Lytechinus pictus: one gene and its partner. The protein of the gene in region 1 interacts with the protein of each later gene in a pairwise test. Links are inferred from orthologs where the notes say so. Each region holds a gene or a part of one and is shown on either strand. Other genes may lie near its edges.

Region 1 (9,648 bases):
TGAAGAGCAGTGCTCGTTGAGTGACCTTGTCTAAAACCAAATTGTCTTTCGTATGAAATATTGTTTTTATCAATACATGTATAATTCAATGATTTATTATATACAATTTTTTTCAAATGTCTTAGTAAAAACAGATAAAAGAGAAATCGGACGATAGTTAGAAACCTTTTATTTAACCCCTTTTTTGAAAAAATGGAATTACGTTAGCCACCTTGAGTTTATCGGGGAATATACCTAACTCTAATGACATATTGCACATATAGGTTGTAAAATAAAACAACGACTTTTTAAAAACTTTCTAAAAGCGGATTGGGCCTAAACTGAAACAGCGAGAGAGAGAGAAGGGGGTGGAGAAGTGGGAGAGGGGACAAGGCGTTGAATTCAAATACTGTACATGCACCACTTTTTATTGCATTGTATGTCAACATATCCGTATTTAGCTTGCTTTACTTAGGCACCTGCCATTTATAAGCCTTTTAAAGCTTTCTACAGGTGTTCCCCTTTCCATTCAAAAATCTATGTAACATTTTTTTACGGTTATATGTATTTGATTTATTTTTCACAGTATACATGTATATACCTGAGCTGTTTATAGTACAAAATTAATGTACATAATTATTTTGATGTTTTTTAACGGAGAAGAATAAACAAACTAAATTGAATTGAAATCCGGGCAGGCCAGAAACGGGACATTGTTGATATCTTCTTTGTTGTAAACATGAGAAACGTTGTAGCGAAGTTCCAATTATCTCTTCCCATTTCCTTTCGATTTGATATCCTTGTTGTTTCAAGGAAAATTGTATTTTATAACTAAGAATAAAACTAAAAATCATATATACCATGCTTTTCAAGTAGATACCTCCACTTACTATTTTCTTTACTAATTTTATGTGCATGTACATACATACATACATGCTACCATATGTAGGCCTACGTACATGTATGTATTTTTGTAATTATTTATTGTAGTTTATTGTAAATACATGTATATGTGTAATGTGGAATCTGAAGAAATCAAATCGAATCGCATCAAAGGCGTTAGCTCTCAAGCAAAGCTGGGGAACGTTCATTTAACAAAATATTGCTGTTGGTGACAATGCATGCATGAAAATGTCAAAGAAACTGTACCTCTGTGAAGGTGTTTTCCCTATTGAAAAAACCCCACAGTGTCCCACAGTGTGTGCCACAGTGTGTTCACAGTCAGTGGAACACACTGTGAAATCACCTATACACACTATTGAATTTGAGTTTTCAACAGTATGAATCACACAGCAGGCCTTGTGAACACGCTGTGAACAATCACACTGTCGAGGTGTCACAGTCATGAGCATTTTAACAGCGTGGATGATATTTTCACATAGTCCACTATGTGAGCACACTGTGATCACACTGTGTGCTCACTGTGTTCTTTCCAGAAGGGCTATTTCATTTATTCGTTTATTTAGAATTCTGTACCAATTAATTTAATTACTTATTTATTTACTCATTCAAATAATTTCATCTGTTTATCTTTAATTAGTTATTGAATTTTTAATTTAAACGAGGAGACAATATTTTTATCGAAGCTGATGTATCCCTGCTAGAAATATCACGCAGTCACAAGACTGTGAAACAGTGTGTCTGGCAATGCTGTCTTACACACTATGTTGCACATAGTTATTCCCATGCGATTAACAGGAAAAAGTTTTCACTCTGTGCATAAGTATTCAGTGTGTCAACACTGTGACTTAACATACAGTAGGTGACTTAATCACGGGGTAAAAACAGTTTCATCACACTTGTTTCACTCTATGGTTAAGATATATTTGTAATTATTCACAATGATGACACACTATGTAGGCTTACCACAGTGTGAAAACGTATTCCACATTTATGGCAGAGGGGTGGCCACGTGAGTGTGACACAGTGTGGAACATAGTACTGACACACTGGCACACTTGAAAGTTCGGGGTTCGATCGCCGGCTACGGCATCTATGTTTCCCCGCGAGCAATGCATTTAATCGATAGTGCTCTTTATCCTACATTCAAATAAATGGAAATGCAATATGCACTCTTAGAAACTTTGTGTACTTTTTTCTTTTAGAAAAATATATTGACTTCCTGTGTTTCCTTCTGGCAGGGGCCGCGCGCCTTGGCTTATTATTTTATCCCATGTTGATCGTTATTTATGATTATGGTGCGTAAATTATTATTTTTATCATTATCAACAAAGACAATCGGATGCCACTTTCTATTTCATTTTTTGTGGGAAAATGTATTTCTTGATTTCATTTTCAATCAAAATCAACAGCGGATATTTATTTTTTTCTCATAATATGGAAGTATTTTTCATTCATGTGTAAATAATATATGCAAAATATGTCTTCACACTGTGATCACATTGTGTTGAAAAAATGCAACAGAGTGGCAATTTTCTTCACAGTGTGGTCACTGTGTGGAACTATGTGAAATTATTGTGCAGTACAAATGCAGCCGCAGTGGATACCTTCTACACAGTGTGGTTTTATATAATCTTCACTGCGTGGGCGATGTGTGAACACACTGTGATAAATGAATTTCACAGTTGCAAGTTTCGAATGTGTGTCGAATAGCATGATTGTGTGAACACAAAAAACAAGTGTGTTTTTCGTTATCAATCAGTGAGGGAATGAAATCAAACAGTGTGAACCGTTTCACATGTGTCATAATGATACACGCATCACACCGTGCCCACATTGTTTTCACTGTGTTTTCAAAGTTGACTCACCGAGTGTTGACTATTTCCTGCATAGAGAAGTCCACATACATAAACATATATGTATATTCAATATAAATATTTTTCTCAATTTTTATTTTATTTCTGTTTTTATTATAATCATTTGTAAATTTTGTGATTTATTCAAATATAAATAAATTTAACCTGAAATGACAAGTGTGGATGTGTGTTTGAGTGTGTGTGGGAAAGTGGGTGTATGTTTGAGGGGGTGAGAGTGCTGGGATCATTATTATTGTTGTTGTTATCATATATATACATGATATCACTCACCTGGTACTAGTCCAACCTCATTTGGCCAAAACAACCCTCCGTCCAACACATCTGTATTCAATCGTCTCACATCGCCTTCTTCCACCAACTGTTTTGCTATATCACGCACAATATAGTTCGAATCTAGAGTATTTGGGATAGCTGAAAAGGTGCTGATACTGAGATCATATCCACCGACTCCTCCTGGCCGGGGCTCTATCGCCGTAAACGCTGGGTTCCGGATAAGAAACCATCCCAAATCTCTAGCTTCCCAGGCCCAGAACTGCTGGACAGGCAAAAATAAGCATAGTATAAATACCAAATTTGATGAAACGGTCATTTTCAGATCAAATTCCTCCTTTCTAGAGAGCAAAATTTAGGAGTGTTAATCAAACTTGCATGTTCTGAGCTCGTTATCTCAACGTGCAACTGATCATAACTACTTTAGAATTTCTTGGTCCGTTTGTTTAACTTTACGTTTTGGTCTACAACATCAGTGTAGCTCCCAAGAGTTGTTTAATTAATTAGTTATGAATTAAACTGTGATCAGTTCTATGGGTTAGGATGACCCCGTTAATCTTAGGTATACCAAAGGTCGGATTCGTATCAAACAATATGTAATTGAGGACGAGTTCGAGAATTACGAATGACATAATTCTTGAATTGGTTGTTTAGAGATCAAAGTCTTGGTCGCCGCAAGCCTGTCGCTATGTACATGATTATCATGTTTTGCGTCAATGTCATACAGATTTTTTTTTATAGTAATCACCAAGCAAGTGCCCCTGCCACCCCCTCGGTTCCGTCGCCCCTGCATGCAATTCCCGTATCTATAAGTTCTTTCCATGCCCGATCAGGTCAATTTCTGTATTTAGCGTTCTGTTCCCTTCTGCAAGTGCAGCTTAAAATTGAATAATTCCTTTCAAAATGTATTTATTTCCCCCTTTATAGCTCTTTTTTTTTCATAGTAAAATTTTTCTTCCGTGTGTCACTTTTTGATATGCCCATGATATTTATTTCTCATCAATGCCCCTTCTCTTTTCTCGTTTGTTCGAAATTTTAAGTCTGTTAGTTATAATTATAGTGTCATTTCCTTTCTTTTCTCTAGGGGTAGTGGAATCGGGAGAGGGGGGGGCAGGGTGATAATCCAAAAAAATTCCATAGGGAAAAAGTATATATTTTTCAAAATGAAATGTGCCCTTTGTAAGATAATACTTAAAAAAATATACGCATCTTAATTCGTCCTCAACTTTACTCCGCTGCCCCTGACCTGGACAATGATATGCATGACTATGTCAAATTAACCGAATCTTTATAACGTCATAATTATGGCTGACTTTCTTATCTTACATCATATTTTGATGACAAGTCAGCTCGCATACCCCAGCAGTACCCCTACGGATCGTAGGATTTAAAAGCTGAGTAATGTGTATAATAATATGATATTGTGTATGAAGACCAAGAAATATGTATAGAGCGTATATGCAAGTATACAACAGAAATATAAACATACTGTATAAAAGAAATAAAGATTTTTCGGATTTTAATAGTTTAAGGTGAGAAAAATATCCACTCAGAGTCATGTTGAGTTTCAAATTGATGTTCGTTTGTTTCAGATCATGTTCACGAAATGAGAGGATTTATGAACCCTTATCTCTTCTACATCTCAAATTGTGATTTAATTGATGAAAACATTATGAAAGGTAGTTATCATATTATCAATGATAATTGTCATTTCTATTTCTGTTTCTGTTTCATTAAGAACGAAATAAGCAGCCTTTTTATGTTTTGGCCAAATTATTTTGGATTCCAGATAAATATTAAGTGGATCAAAGTCAAAACACAAAAATTTCATATATTTAATTGATTTTTTTTTTCATTCATTTCTTTTATTTTATTTTTGTAAGAGTTAGTACACGAGCTATACATCTCTTTTTGATTGATCAATATCCTCCCTTCTTTCCTTTCTTTCTTAAAAAATATATTTTGTTCTTCTTCCCTCATTTTTCAATTTAATACCATAGGGAGGCGGTCGGAGGTCGCCCCTATGTAGATGGGAGAAAATATAAAAAAAAAAAAAAAGAAAAGGGTGGAATACAATATTTTCTTCTGGATGTCATGTCAGAATCTATCACAATATTATACTTTTTATTAACTTTGTCAATTTTATGCGCGCTTGCTTTGTTTGCTTAATCTTTGGAGAAAGTCTCCCATAGATGCTATCTTCTCTGGTCCCCTTATTAATTTAGGCTTCATGCCACTTTCATTGGGTCAAACCGACTGTTTAAACCCCCTTTTGCAAAAAGCTTGATCCGCCACTGATATATAAACCAATCATAGAGGTGTATCTTTTATGAATCAATACTCAATTTTACCAGTAAACAAAAAACGGTATTTAAAAAAATCGAGTTCATATCGTTTAGCCGAGTTTCCCACTGTTTTCACTTTGAAGGAAATTACCCGATTTCCGGGTAATCCGGATCATTTTCAGGTAATTTTCGGGTAATGAAAAAAATCCAGGTAATTCCGGGTAACCAGAAAATTACAATTAAACTTTTCAACTTTAATATTCATGTTATAAATTTGTTTACCTCGATACGTAGCTCAAAATTGTGGTCTCGCGCCCCGCGCTCGCAATTCGTAATTTTGTTCCTATTTTAAAAGAGAGTGAAAAAAAATGTTGAATTCCTTGATTTTGGTCACTTGGACCAAATTTAGGCTCGCTGTATTATTGCCCGATTTTAGTTAGAAATAAAACTTGAAAATTCTAGGAAATGTCTATGAATTTCGGGAAATTTTGGAATAAGTTTCGGGAAATTTGTTTTGGATCTGTTGAAACACTGAGCTTTCCATAGGCTGCTGCGCGCGCTCCGTTCGAATTTTGACTGGCAAACCTGCGGGCTGCGAATCGCTTTAATAAAGTTTATTAAACTAAAAACTGGAATTAGTGACGTTAAATGATGAATGATGAGAATCGTGTTTTCAGCTGTTCTAAAGAATTAGAGAAGTGACAAGAAGATGGTAAGTTCTCCATATTATATTAAATGTACCGTATTAAAAAGTCGTGAGTTGTAAAGTTATTTAGAGACGGTGTCAGCGGGACCAGCAAGCCAGGCAGCAAGGCAATTACCGTACGGTACGGTACCTGAATTAGATTAGGCAAGGGTCAGGCGCCGAGCAGCCGGGCGCACCCCGCTGGGTGCTAGCTGCACAGAGCCGCGGATCCAGGGAGAAGTGCAGTGGCCAGGCCTGTTACTTAGTTAGACTAGTCTAGAGTTAGAAGGGTCTTTGCCTTTACAAGGCTTTGGTAGAACCTAGTCTTGAGCACTTGTTCACTGCAACCACCCTGCCTGTGGGGAATCTACAGGTTGGATTATGGCATGCCAATGCTGTACAGAGCACACACTTTGAAAAATAATTAAAATATCACTTTTGTGACCAAAATTACTAATTTCCATATAGGCCTAGGCCTAGTTGCAATTTATTTTTCATTAGTAACTTGAGAATAATTTTGTATTCACTAGAGCGCTTAAAAACTTGAATTTTGGGCATATTTGTGTGTACGCCCTCTATTGGTGGAAAATAATATGGCAAGAAAATTTTCATTTTTTATCTCTATTTTTAATTAAGAAAAAAATAATTTAAAGAATCAAATATACTTAAGGGCCAAGTTGTATGACAAATAGGGGTAATGGAAACTGTCAGTGTAAAAAAATCAAGTATTTGTCCCAAAGAAAAAGAGAAAATAAGCCAAACATTGCCATCCTTATTTTACCACACATGGAGATATAACTGAGAACAAGGTTATATCATAACCTTGTTCATTGAATGAGTGGTCTTGAGGACTCAAGGGGCCCGATTGCACGAAAGGGTCTTTGCAAGGACCGTCTTTCGTGTCGCCCATTTTTTATGATGCGCCATATGAAACGCATTTCAAATAAATTATCTGCAAACATATTTTATTCGTCCATTGAAATAAACAAACTAGGCCTATTTGTTTATAAAATGATGTGATATCTCACAAAGTTGTATAAATTTGATTTAAAAGCAAGCTTACGAATTGTATTTGATTATCATAAATTTCAGAAACACCCCGCTTGTATGATGGGGGGACCTAAAGCTACGCACTTTGTTTCCAAACGATAAAAACTATGCCAATTTTAATATTTGAACAATTATTTTTCACTAATTTGTAATAAATATTCTAAATATCCTTAACCAAGAAGAAAATATCACAAAACTCACGAATACGAAAATCCCGCCGTGTTTTCCGAACACCTCTTAATTTCGCCGCCCGATGTAGAAGGGGTCCTAAAGCTACGCACTCAATTTATCATGCAAAGAAATAGTATTTCCTGTGCCTCAATTTCTAAAATATGTCCGTATTATTATAGGAAAATATGAAATCAAAGTGAATATAACTCCGAAATTCCAAACATTTGCTGGTTTTCTCTGCATTCAAGGGTTTATTGCAGCCTCTGTAAAAAAATTGAATAGGGATCGTTCGTCACAGCTTCACACACAGAGCTAGAGTGCGCATTTATTTTGCCATTGGAATTGCATGCGCGATGAGTGGTGCGTAGCTTTAGGACCCGCGTAGCTTTAGGACCCCCAACCACTTGTACTGTAGTTGTACTGTAGCGCATTATAAAGATGGGCGACACGAAAGACGGTCCTTGGAAAGACCCTTTCGTGCAATCGGCCCCATGATGTTATACTTCTTCACCATGGAGTATAAGCTTGTAACCGATTTTGCAATCGGCAACCGATTCCATTCGATTTCACCACAATCGGCAATCACTTGCCGATCTTCGATCATGCCCCTTGAAGGAAAAAATCGAAAATAAAAAATTGGCGTAGATCTGGTTACAGTGCGTGATCGCTCAGAACATATTTCAAGATTGTTTTTGAGGTGCTAGCTATTTAGAGGTCGCATTATTCAGGGAGAAAGACGCGGTATTATCTATGGCGATGTTTAAGAGGATAGATATCTTCTCCTCCAACTCATGGTGATAGCGGATGCCGCCGTGAACTTTGAAAGGTCGTATTACCGACGGAGCTCACTGCGTTACTCTCTTACATCGTTTATGATGATATACATTTTATTTTCAACCTCGTGGTGATAGCGGATGCCGCCGTGAACTTTGAAAGGTCGTATTACCGACGGAGCTCACTGCGCTACTCTCTAACCCCGTTTATAATGATATAAATCTTCTCTTCAACCTCGTGGTGATAGCGGACCCCGCCATAAATTTTTAAAGACTGTACTATTGACGGAGCTTATTGCGTTACTCTCTTACATCGTTTATGATGATATACATTTTATTTTCAACCTCGTGGTGATAGCGGACCCCGCCGTGAACTTTTAAAGATCGTGCTACTGACGGAGCTTATTGCGTTGCTCTCTTACATCGTTTATGATGATATTCATTTTATATTCAACCTCGTGGTGATAGCGGAAGCCGCCGTGAACTTTGAAAGGTCGTACTACCGACGGAGCTCACTGCGCTACTCTCTAACCCCGTTTATAATGATATAAATCTTCTCTTCAACCTCGTGGTGATAGCGGACCCCGCCATAAACTTTTAAAGACTGTACTATTGACGGAGCTTATTGCGTTGCTCTCTTACATCGTTTATGATGATATTCATTTTATATTCAACCTCGTGGTGATAGCGGAAGCCGCCGTGAACTTTGAAAGGTCGTATTACCGACGGAGCTCACTGCGCTACTCTCTAACCCCGTTTATAATGATATAAATCTTCTCTTCAACCTCGTGGTGATAGCGGACCCCGCCATAAACTTTTAAAGACTGTACTATTGACGGAGCTTATTGCGTTACTCTCTTACATCGTTTATGATGATATACATTTTATTTTCAACCTCGTGGTGATAGCGGATGCCGCCGTGAACTTTGAAAGATCGTGCTACTGACGGAGCTTATTGCGTTACTCTCTTACATCGTTTATGATGATATACATTTTATTTTCAACCTAGTGGTGATAGCGGATGCCGCCATGAACTTTGAAAGGTCGTATTACCGACGGAGCTCACTGCGCTACTCTCTTACCCCCTTTATAATGATATAAATCTTCTCTTCAACCTCGTGGTGATAGCGGACCCCGCCACAAACTTTTAAAGACTGTACTATTGACGGAGCTTATTGCGTTACTCTCTTACATCGTTTATGATGATATACATTTTATTTTCAATCTCGTGGTGATAGCGGATGCCGCCGTGAACTTTGAAAGGTCGTATTACCGACGGAGCTCACTGCGCTACTCTCTTACCCCCTTTATGATGATAGACATCTTCTCTTCAACCTCGTGGTGATAGCGGACCCCGCCGTGAACTTCAAATTGATTTGAAAACGCTAGCTACCCAAAACATTTTAATAACATATTTCAAATCATCGTGCGTGCTTGCGTCTTCTACTTCATTTTAATTGCACTTGCGACTTTAAGATGATGCGTCGTAAGAGATCATTCCAATAATTCTAAATCGCTAGCACCTAAAAATACTTCTAAAAGATGTCCCGCCGATCGTTCATTAACCTGTGATCTATGAGAAATATTTTCATTTTATTTTCCTTTGCGCCTTTGCTCGGAAGATGCGTCTTTCGTTTATCTTTCTAATAAAAATCACT
Region 2 (8,711 bases), on another chromosome or scaffold:
ATTCTACAAATAATTCTTATTTTCATAGATTTACGTAGGAGAAAATGATTATTCTTCGTATTTTCACTAACTTTCGAGGCGTACAACACAAATAGCGAATATCCTTATTCATACAATCGTGCAACACTTCACATTCGGTGAATAGGCGAAACCTTGCACTCATGCCTATTTGCTATTTGTATATCCAGCACATGTGGCCTGATGGAAAAAAAATTTGAAGTAAAATACCAGGCTTATATAAGATGATAACCAAGTTCAACTGTAATACAGATGTATGTGCTTCCATGAAAACACCTTGTTCATCATATTGATCAGTGCCAAGACATTCATGTTTCAAGAGGGCAAGGATGGTAAGAAATCTAGGGTTGTGTGAGTACCTCCATAGGGAAATCAGAAAGGTTTGGAGATACATGTTGCATGTAGATAAAAAAGCAAACATTACTCAAATTAAACTACAAATCAATACTAACGTAGACTTGATGGTAATACAACGCTCCTGTTCATCCTTCCTGGTGTCGGTGAATCGCATCTCACCAGCCTTTGCAGTGGCAATGATTCCGGCCTTGCTCACCAAAGAGTCAGTCAGAGTAGACTTGCCATGATCGACATGAGCAATAACAGACATGTTCCTAATGTTCTGTTTTTTGTCCATGATGGTACGGATCTGATCTATTGTGAAGTTCACCTTAAAAAAAAAAAAATGACATAACATTTAAAAGTAGCCAAATAAACTAAACACCAAAAGGAAAGTACAGAAGAATACACTTATATCCATTAGGCAAGAAAATAATGTTAACCTTATCTTCAGTTAGTAATCCCTACATGTGGAGAAAAAAAAGGAGTATTTTCACCTTTCAATATCAATACTACTACCTCTACAAATATATTACGTGTTTACATGTATGTGCATGTATTTACCATTAAGATTTACAGGGACAGTGATTTTCCATTTCAGAAAATCTAAGTCTGTTTCAGCATGTCTGAAAACAGAATTTCCATTTCCCCATAGACTCTGTAAAATGAAATAGTGATAATTCTGCTTACATACCATGTAGAAATCAATACAAATATTATGCACTGAGTAGCGATGTCACAATACTCGCGCTGGGCAAACTTCACTGGTATTTCAATAAACACATTTAACATGAATACACCTATTCACCTTTCACATAATTAGCATTAATTTAGGGTTGAATGAGATTTTATTGATCATCTGGGGACTTTTTGCGATATATGCGTATCCAAACTAAGCTACTAACAAAGAGAACAAGATGGCCACTTAAACCAATATTATTCTCATGTTATTTTTCTGGTTTTTTTTTAAATAGGGGAGAGGGGTAAATAAAGGCAACATTTTTTTATAATTCCAATCATATCTCTTTAACCAAATATCTCTTTAACCAAATAGCCCCTGAAACGCCCGAGACTGCCCTTCCTGTTACACACTGAACCGCCCTTAACCGCCCGTACGTTTTATTTGCGCTATAGTATCTCTTGTATATGATTTACCGTGGTAATATTGCGTGTGCATACTGTATAGGTTGGCTGCTATATCGATCTGCATAGAAAAGTGTATGCTCCTATTGAGTATAATAGAGAACAAGTGGAATGCCTCTGGCGGTCTCACCTGCATCACACGATTCAATATAGCAGCAGTGCTGACTTTGAAAACTACTATAACTCGCACAAGATACTCAGTGATACTTGGTTACTCTTATGTCCACGTTTTATGAACTAGACCAATACACTATAGAGATATGATGGTATTTCAACAAATACCCCCAACATGGCCAAAGTTCATTGACCCTAAATGACCTTTGACCTAAATCATGTGACCTGAAACTTGCACAGGATGATCAGTGATACTTGATTACTATTATGTCCAAGTTTCATGAATCAGATCCATAAACTTTCAAAGTTATGATGGTAATTCAACAGATACCCCCATTATGGCCAAAGTTCATTGACCTTTGACCTTGGTCATGTGACCTGAAATGTGCACAGGATGTTCAGTGATACTTGATAACTCTTATGTCCAAGTTTTATGAACTACACCAATATACTTTCAAAGTTATGATGGTATTTCAACAAATACCCCCAATTTGGCCAAAGTTCATTGACCCTAAATGACCTTTGACCTAAATCATGTGACCTGAAACTTTCACAGGATGATCAGTGATACTTGATTACTCTTATGTCCAAATTTTATGAACTAGACCAATATACTTTCAAAGTTATGATGGTAATTCAACAAATACCCCCAATTTGGCCAAAGTTCATTGACCCTAAATGACCTTTGACCTAATTCATGTGACCTGAAACTTGCATAGGATGATCAGTGATACTTGATTACTATTATGTCCAAGTTTCATGAATCAGATCCATAAACTTTCAAAGTTATGATTGTAATTCAACAGATACCCCCATTATGGCCAAAGTTCATTGACCTTTGACCTTGGTCATGTGACCTGAAATGTACACAGGATGTTCAGTGATACTTGATTACTTATGTCCAAGTTTTATGAACTAGACCAATATACTTTCAAAGTTATGATGGTAATTCAACAAATACCCCCAATTTGGAAAAAGTTCATTGACCCTAAATGACCTCTGACCTTGGTCATGTGACGTGAAACTCATGCAGGACATTCAGTGATACTTGATTAACCATTAACCTTATGTCCAAGTTTCATGAACTAGGTCCATATATTTTTTAAGTTATGACATTTCAAAAACTTAACCTTAGGTTAAAATTTTGATGTTGATTCCCCCAACATGGTCTAAGTTAATTGACCCTAAATGACCTTTGACCTTGGTCATGTGACATGAAACTCAGGCAGGATGTTCAGTAATACTTGATTAACCTTATGGCCAAGTTTCATGAACTAGGTCCATATACTTTTTAAGTTACGCTGTCATTTCAAAAACTTAACCTTCGGTTAAGATTTGTTGTTGTCGCCGCCGCCGCCGTCGGAAAAGCGGCGCCTATAGTCTCACTCTGCTATGCAGGTGAGACAAAAACCGATTGACACGCATTTTGTAACATCACTTATCGAAGCAGGGTCAAACCTATTGTATTTGCGGTGTTTACGAATGGATCGAGGGATCTACAAAAGATCGGTCTGGTAAGAAACCTCTCATTTTTCATATTTATACTAAAATAATTTTAATCTATGAACCTTCATACGCCTATTGCATATACGGTAAAGGTTCATAGATAAATAAAATCAAGAGAAACAAACCGATCTCACTGTCTAATTATGTATTTCTTAGGGAAATCCATCCTTGTTGACAAGTCATCTCGCTTATGCATAAAGTCTATATGGCAAGCATTTCAAGGCTCCGTGATCAGTAGCGGCCCACGTCCAATATGGGAGACTGTCTCCCATGAGATTATCTCCCATATCAAGATACTTTTATCAAGAATTTGGGTATCCAATTTCAGAGACAGTCTCCAGTTTGGGAGACCAATTTTCTTTGTTTACATTTGCTGCAAAAGAATTAACTTGGCGGCAAATAAAAATGTGATACTGATAAGCAGATTCCTCAACTCATGAAAAATTACCCCTTTTCACCGTCTACTTTTGTTTTTATAAGGTTTTTTGTTGTCATCCACACATGAAACAAATGGGCTCTGACCTCAGTGGGACAAAATTTTGGGTGGAAAAAAAATCATGCTTTTGTTGGTGTTTCTTTGTTCTTTTGCAAAGCAAGTGTCCAATATGGGAGATTGTCTCCCTTTGGAAAGTGTCTCCCTTTGGAAAGAGTCTCCTATATTGGCCGTGCACCTCTACTCAGGGACTCGATTTTAAGGCGCGCGAGAGCGATTTTGCGCTACATGATTGGCAACTGGCTTAGTGCTTTAGGCCCTAGCTAGATATTTATTGCTGCAACTTATTTCATTATACTTATAAGCTAAGGGAAACATTGTCATCATTCACACAAGTACTATGAAATAATAAAAAAAATATTATTTTATGCAATAACATAAGAAAACAATGTGGGGATTAACCCAGGGAGCTCCCGCCCGCTGCGCGGGAGCCCAGGAGCTTACCGTGTATTTGACCATAGTCACCGGACTAGGGTGATTTATGGTCTGAATATTTCTCCAAATGAATTGTGAAAACAGAAAGTATACAATTACCACAATTATATGGATGAAGGTCTAACGAGTGGCAGTTTCCTGACATCTGGGCACAAACTGGAACCTCAAAAAACCGAAAAGTTCTCTCCTTCTACCCCCGTCTCGATCGGCCATTTTTGTTAAAAATCGTAACAAAATGGCTGATCGAGACTGGGGTAGAGGAGAGAACGTTTCGTTTTTTTGAGGTTCCAGTCTGTGCCCAGATGTCAGGAAACTGCCACTCGTTAGACCTTCATCCATATAATCGTGGTAATTGTAAGTTTCTGTTTTCACAATTCATTTGGAGAAATATTTAGACCATAAATCACCCTAGTCCGGTGACTATGGTCAAATACACGGTAAGCTTCCTGGGTTATGTGGGGATGTGACATCAGCCCACCTAAATAAATAGGTATATCAATTATCATTACTGAGTAATATTTCTAAATTCTACTCTAGTTGAGTAGTTCTTGGAGGAAAACAAATTTGAATAAACATAATTTCATATACCGGTCATGCCGGTAGGCCTAGGCCCTAAAATACAAAAGAACAAGTGGGGATGTGACATCATCAGCCCACCTACTCGACCTAGGCTAATGAATATTCAATAATTCATGACTAGGCCTACTATTTTCACAAAATATTGCTAAACTTTAAAATTCAATAACTGTTAAGTGTTAGGCCTATTTGTTATCCGATTTTGATGAAATTTTCGGCATTTTGCTCAGTGAATTCTACTCTATTTATCAAGCTATACCAATACTTTCAGCCCGGACCATCCCTTTTTTCAAATAATTCACACAACATCAACAGTCAACAAACATGAGTTAGGGACAACGGTATATTCGGTACTTGCTCTATCAAAGTCCCTACATACCATTGCGAGTGCGTCGAGCGCGTCCGTTGATCCTACGAAGCCCCAATAATGCATCCCTCTTGACTGATAATTTCACCCTAAATTCAGTTATTTCAGGTAGCTATGATATATTTGGCATTAAAAGGATCGGTAATTATTTGTCAGTAATTATTTAGTATTCTATATTTTCGAATGGCTTACCTCTACTTGTTCTTTGAATGGGAAAATATCGTACTTTGTCCTTGTATTCCACATGAACTGCAGAGTTTGTATGTGTATAAAGTCAATGGGGAAATTCAAAGTTTTGCACACGCGACCCGTCACCATGACGTCACCAGGATTGCGTGTGAGCGAGCTAAGTTTGATTTGGGGGCGGCACCCTCCAAAATTTGACCAATAAAAATTCTGCATTTGCTGCATCTTTTGGGATTTTCCCTAAATTCATGTCTCAGGGACCGTCTTGGAAGTGCATGCTGAGCTGTATAATCTTTTTGAAGGACCCACCCTATTCTACTTAAAGATATTCAATTAAAACATCTTGGGGCCCGTTTTGGGACTTTTCATTCTTAAAAAAGATGGTTTTTAGACGAAGTCTTATATCTAGATTAATTTAAGAAAAAAAAATTAGTGAATTTATTTTCAAATTTTAAAATGCAAAGCAAAAACCTCCATATGACGTGTACGTGACGTAATTATCGTCATGAAGTTGAAGATCGCGCGAAGTGGTGGGAGGGGCCTATCGCGAACGTAGACCATGTATTAGTCTTGATTCAGGCAATTTTTATGATTTGTAAAGTTCGTTTAAACTCTGTAACGTTGTGAACGGATATCATCCAAATAAAATAAATGAAAATAATTTTAAAATGTGAAAGGATGAAGGCTAGCACAATCTTTCTCTTAGGAACATTCAGCCCCCCCCCCTCCTCAGTTACAAATGTTAATCACGTGTAATCGCCGTGATACAAGGAGAGATGTTTTGGAAGGTCATGTGTGTGTGAGATATTGCACATGGCATAATGGCGGCATATACGTGTGATACAGGGAATTCTGTACAAGGATGTTTACACTTGTGTGTGAGAAGGTCTGTGACCGAGATGGTGGCATGGGAATAATGGAGTTAGAGTGGATTTAAAAACTGCGTGTGTAAAGCATGGACCTGTACGTTGCAACTGTACATTCGCTCTGGGGGCTAAATCCCAGGGCTAAATTAAAATAGGGGAATCCCCCGGTGTGTATAGTTTGATTAGTAATCAATTGTTAAGGCCTACTAAAGTATATTTTGTTTATTAAGAAATCTAAGAAATCAATGTTTTAAGTTGCAATGTTTACGCACAATATATGTATATATGCCCTCTCACAATCACACACATTTAAGATTTTATTTCTAACAGTAACATACTGATTGTTGTAAAATTAGGATACAAAAATTACTCGACGAGATGTCAGTTATTTTTTTATTTTCTAATGTATAGGCGGAGGGGGTGGGGGATGGGTTTCCTCGGTCCTGCGCCCTTGCTCTTAGCAAAAATAAATAAATGGATATCAAAAAAAAAATACCTGCAAAGAACCCGTTTACACCACCCCCCCCCAAAAAAACCCCCTGAAAATTGGAGGCCATTTATATGATTGAGCGGAGAGTTGGAAAAAAACGTTTTCGGTGAGAGACTCCCCCCCCCCCCACCCCCCCCCCCCCCCGCTGACTTTTACATCCGTAATCTGCTTTTTTATGGGAACATTCTTCTAACACTTCGTCTATCTTGCCCTGTCATGAGTGAAAATATAGTTCAAACAGGGATATGCAATATCCCTGGTTCAAACATGGACCTTTTAAAGCGTTGACAAAAAGTGGCAAAAAAGTCACGCTATTATGGGGCTTTTATACCAATGTAACCCGATATGAATAAATTAGGTATCCAATGCGACTGTCAAATTGAATTTACATCTGATTTCAAGGGATGTGCAATAGGCCTATATTGATTTTTTTTTTACACGGGGAGGGGGCCTACATAGCTCGTTTACATTTCTCGATTTTACTCCTTTTTCCGCCATGAGTCTCAACTTCCTACATGGGATATTATGGAGGATCGATGGGGTGGCCCTTAATTACCCCTTCTATATAGCTATCCCAGTAGGGGTCAGGGGTTGGATTCTGAATTAGGGTGGGGGTAAGGGTATCATCATGTAACAACGATCAGACGAGAATACTCACTTTTTAATTATTATTCTTTTTTTTTTGTTAAGTGAAAAGAGTTGCCCCCTCCTTCGGTGTCCCTGGTCGGTGCCGGTGAGTTTTCCAAAAGAAAAATATTCTGAAGGTTGCTATGGGGAACTCTTCGTCAATTTTGAGATATGACATTATTTCACTTATTTCACAAGTCATAATCATGAACATAATACAAATATTACATCAGAAGAATGAACATGACGTACAAATCAGACATGGCATCATTTATTTAAATTGAATAATACGGCGAATAGAAACATGAGGGAACCTGCATTAAAAGGCAACGTTTTATTTCTTCAGTCTGCAGGATCCAAAAAATATGAACTCTTCATGCAGGACAGCACAATAAAAATGATAATTTGATTACGTAAAGAAATGCCAAAAATATTACAACTGTAAAGAAAGTAATTCACATGGACTTTTTCGGAATAAGGAGGGTGTGAAAGAATAAGTTGTTTCTGTGAAGTTGCCGCGGTGTATACTTCAAAAGATTAATGCAGAAGGGTGTTGACAACAAAAAGAAAGTAATTTACATGGATTTTTCGGAATAAGGAGGGTGTGAAAGAATTTGTTTCTGTGAAGTTGCCGCAGTGTTGACAGACATGAAACAGCCTGTCCGATAAGGTCTTGGAAGCCAGACATTCCGTCGTCTTCGGTGGGAACATTTCATGAGATAAAATGAGTCATGTTTTTTTTTGCGTTTTCACTTCTGATTGGGTCAAAGCATTCATGTGCTGACCAGTGAAAAGCACCCCTTTCCATTGATCTTTTGAATGATCCCATGATGGGTTAGTGTGTCCTAGCCTGAATTATATAACACGAGAATACCCCCAGGGATCCCTGAGCTGGTTGTACCCCTGCCTTTCCGGTCCAGGGAATACTCCAGATGGACGAGGGCATTTACCACATCAGGTAAGAATCATCCATTACAATTCATAATTATTAATATGTAATTCAAATTTTATTTTCCACTGCGGAAATGTTCAAACCTTATTAATGTATTTTTATGTTATAGAGAGAGAATTTGAAATAAACATCCCTAAACCTCACTTAAATTATTTTAAATTGCAGTATATACAAATATTAATTTTAAATGTTCTTAATAACTTGATTCTTTTCCATGAAAACATTTTTTTCTCATACACTGACCCACCCTTTCTATAAAAAAAAAGGGAAGATACGTCCCGGTTTACGTCGTTATATATTATAGGCCTACAGAGATAAAATCACTGGCTTTTACCGTTATCTGAGATTTTTTTTAAATCATGTACGTATATAAAATAACAAAGAATATATAGGGGGGGCGCCGAACCCAAAATCCCGACAATTAACTTAAACTTTTCCTTCAACCATGCATGATGTCACTCAACACCCCTCCCCACCCCCCCCCCCCCAAAAAAAAAGATAGCAGTTAATGAGGAAAAAAACATTCATGAGCAAGGTCGACATCCCGTCCTTTTCGTAAGTGGGAACAATTTCACGGGAGAATGCTAATGGTAGAGACTGGG

Evidence for each region.
Region 2: the proteins of DNA repair and recombination protein RAD54-like (region 1) and elongation factor 2b-like interact in a two-hybrid assay, tested with the Caenorhabditis elegans proteins (2 studies listed by BioGRID). The link is inferred for Lytechinus pictus from reciprocal best matches to the Caenorhabditis elegans genes rad-54.L and eef-2.

What each region holds. Positions count from the first base shown.
Region 1 is NC_087255.1:21,260,266-21,269,913, reverse strand, and holds the start of DNA repair and recombination protein RAD54-like, read left to right. Parts: upstream 1-5,867; 5' UTR 5,868-6,020; coding exon 6,021-6,023; intron 6,024-9,648.
Region 2 is NC_087249.1:23,435,737-23,444,447, reverse strand, and holds the start of elongation factor 2b-like, read right to left. Parts: upstream 3,923-8,711; 5' UTR 2,166-3,922; intron 1,990-2,165; 5' UTR 713-1,989; coding exon 471-712; intron 1-470. UniProt on the Caenorhabditis elegans protein: Catalyzes the GTP-dependent ribosomal translocation step during translation elongation.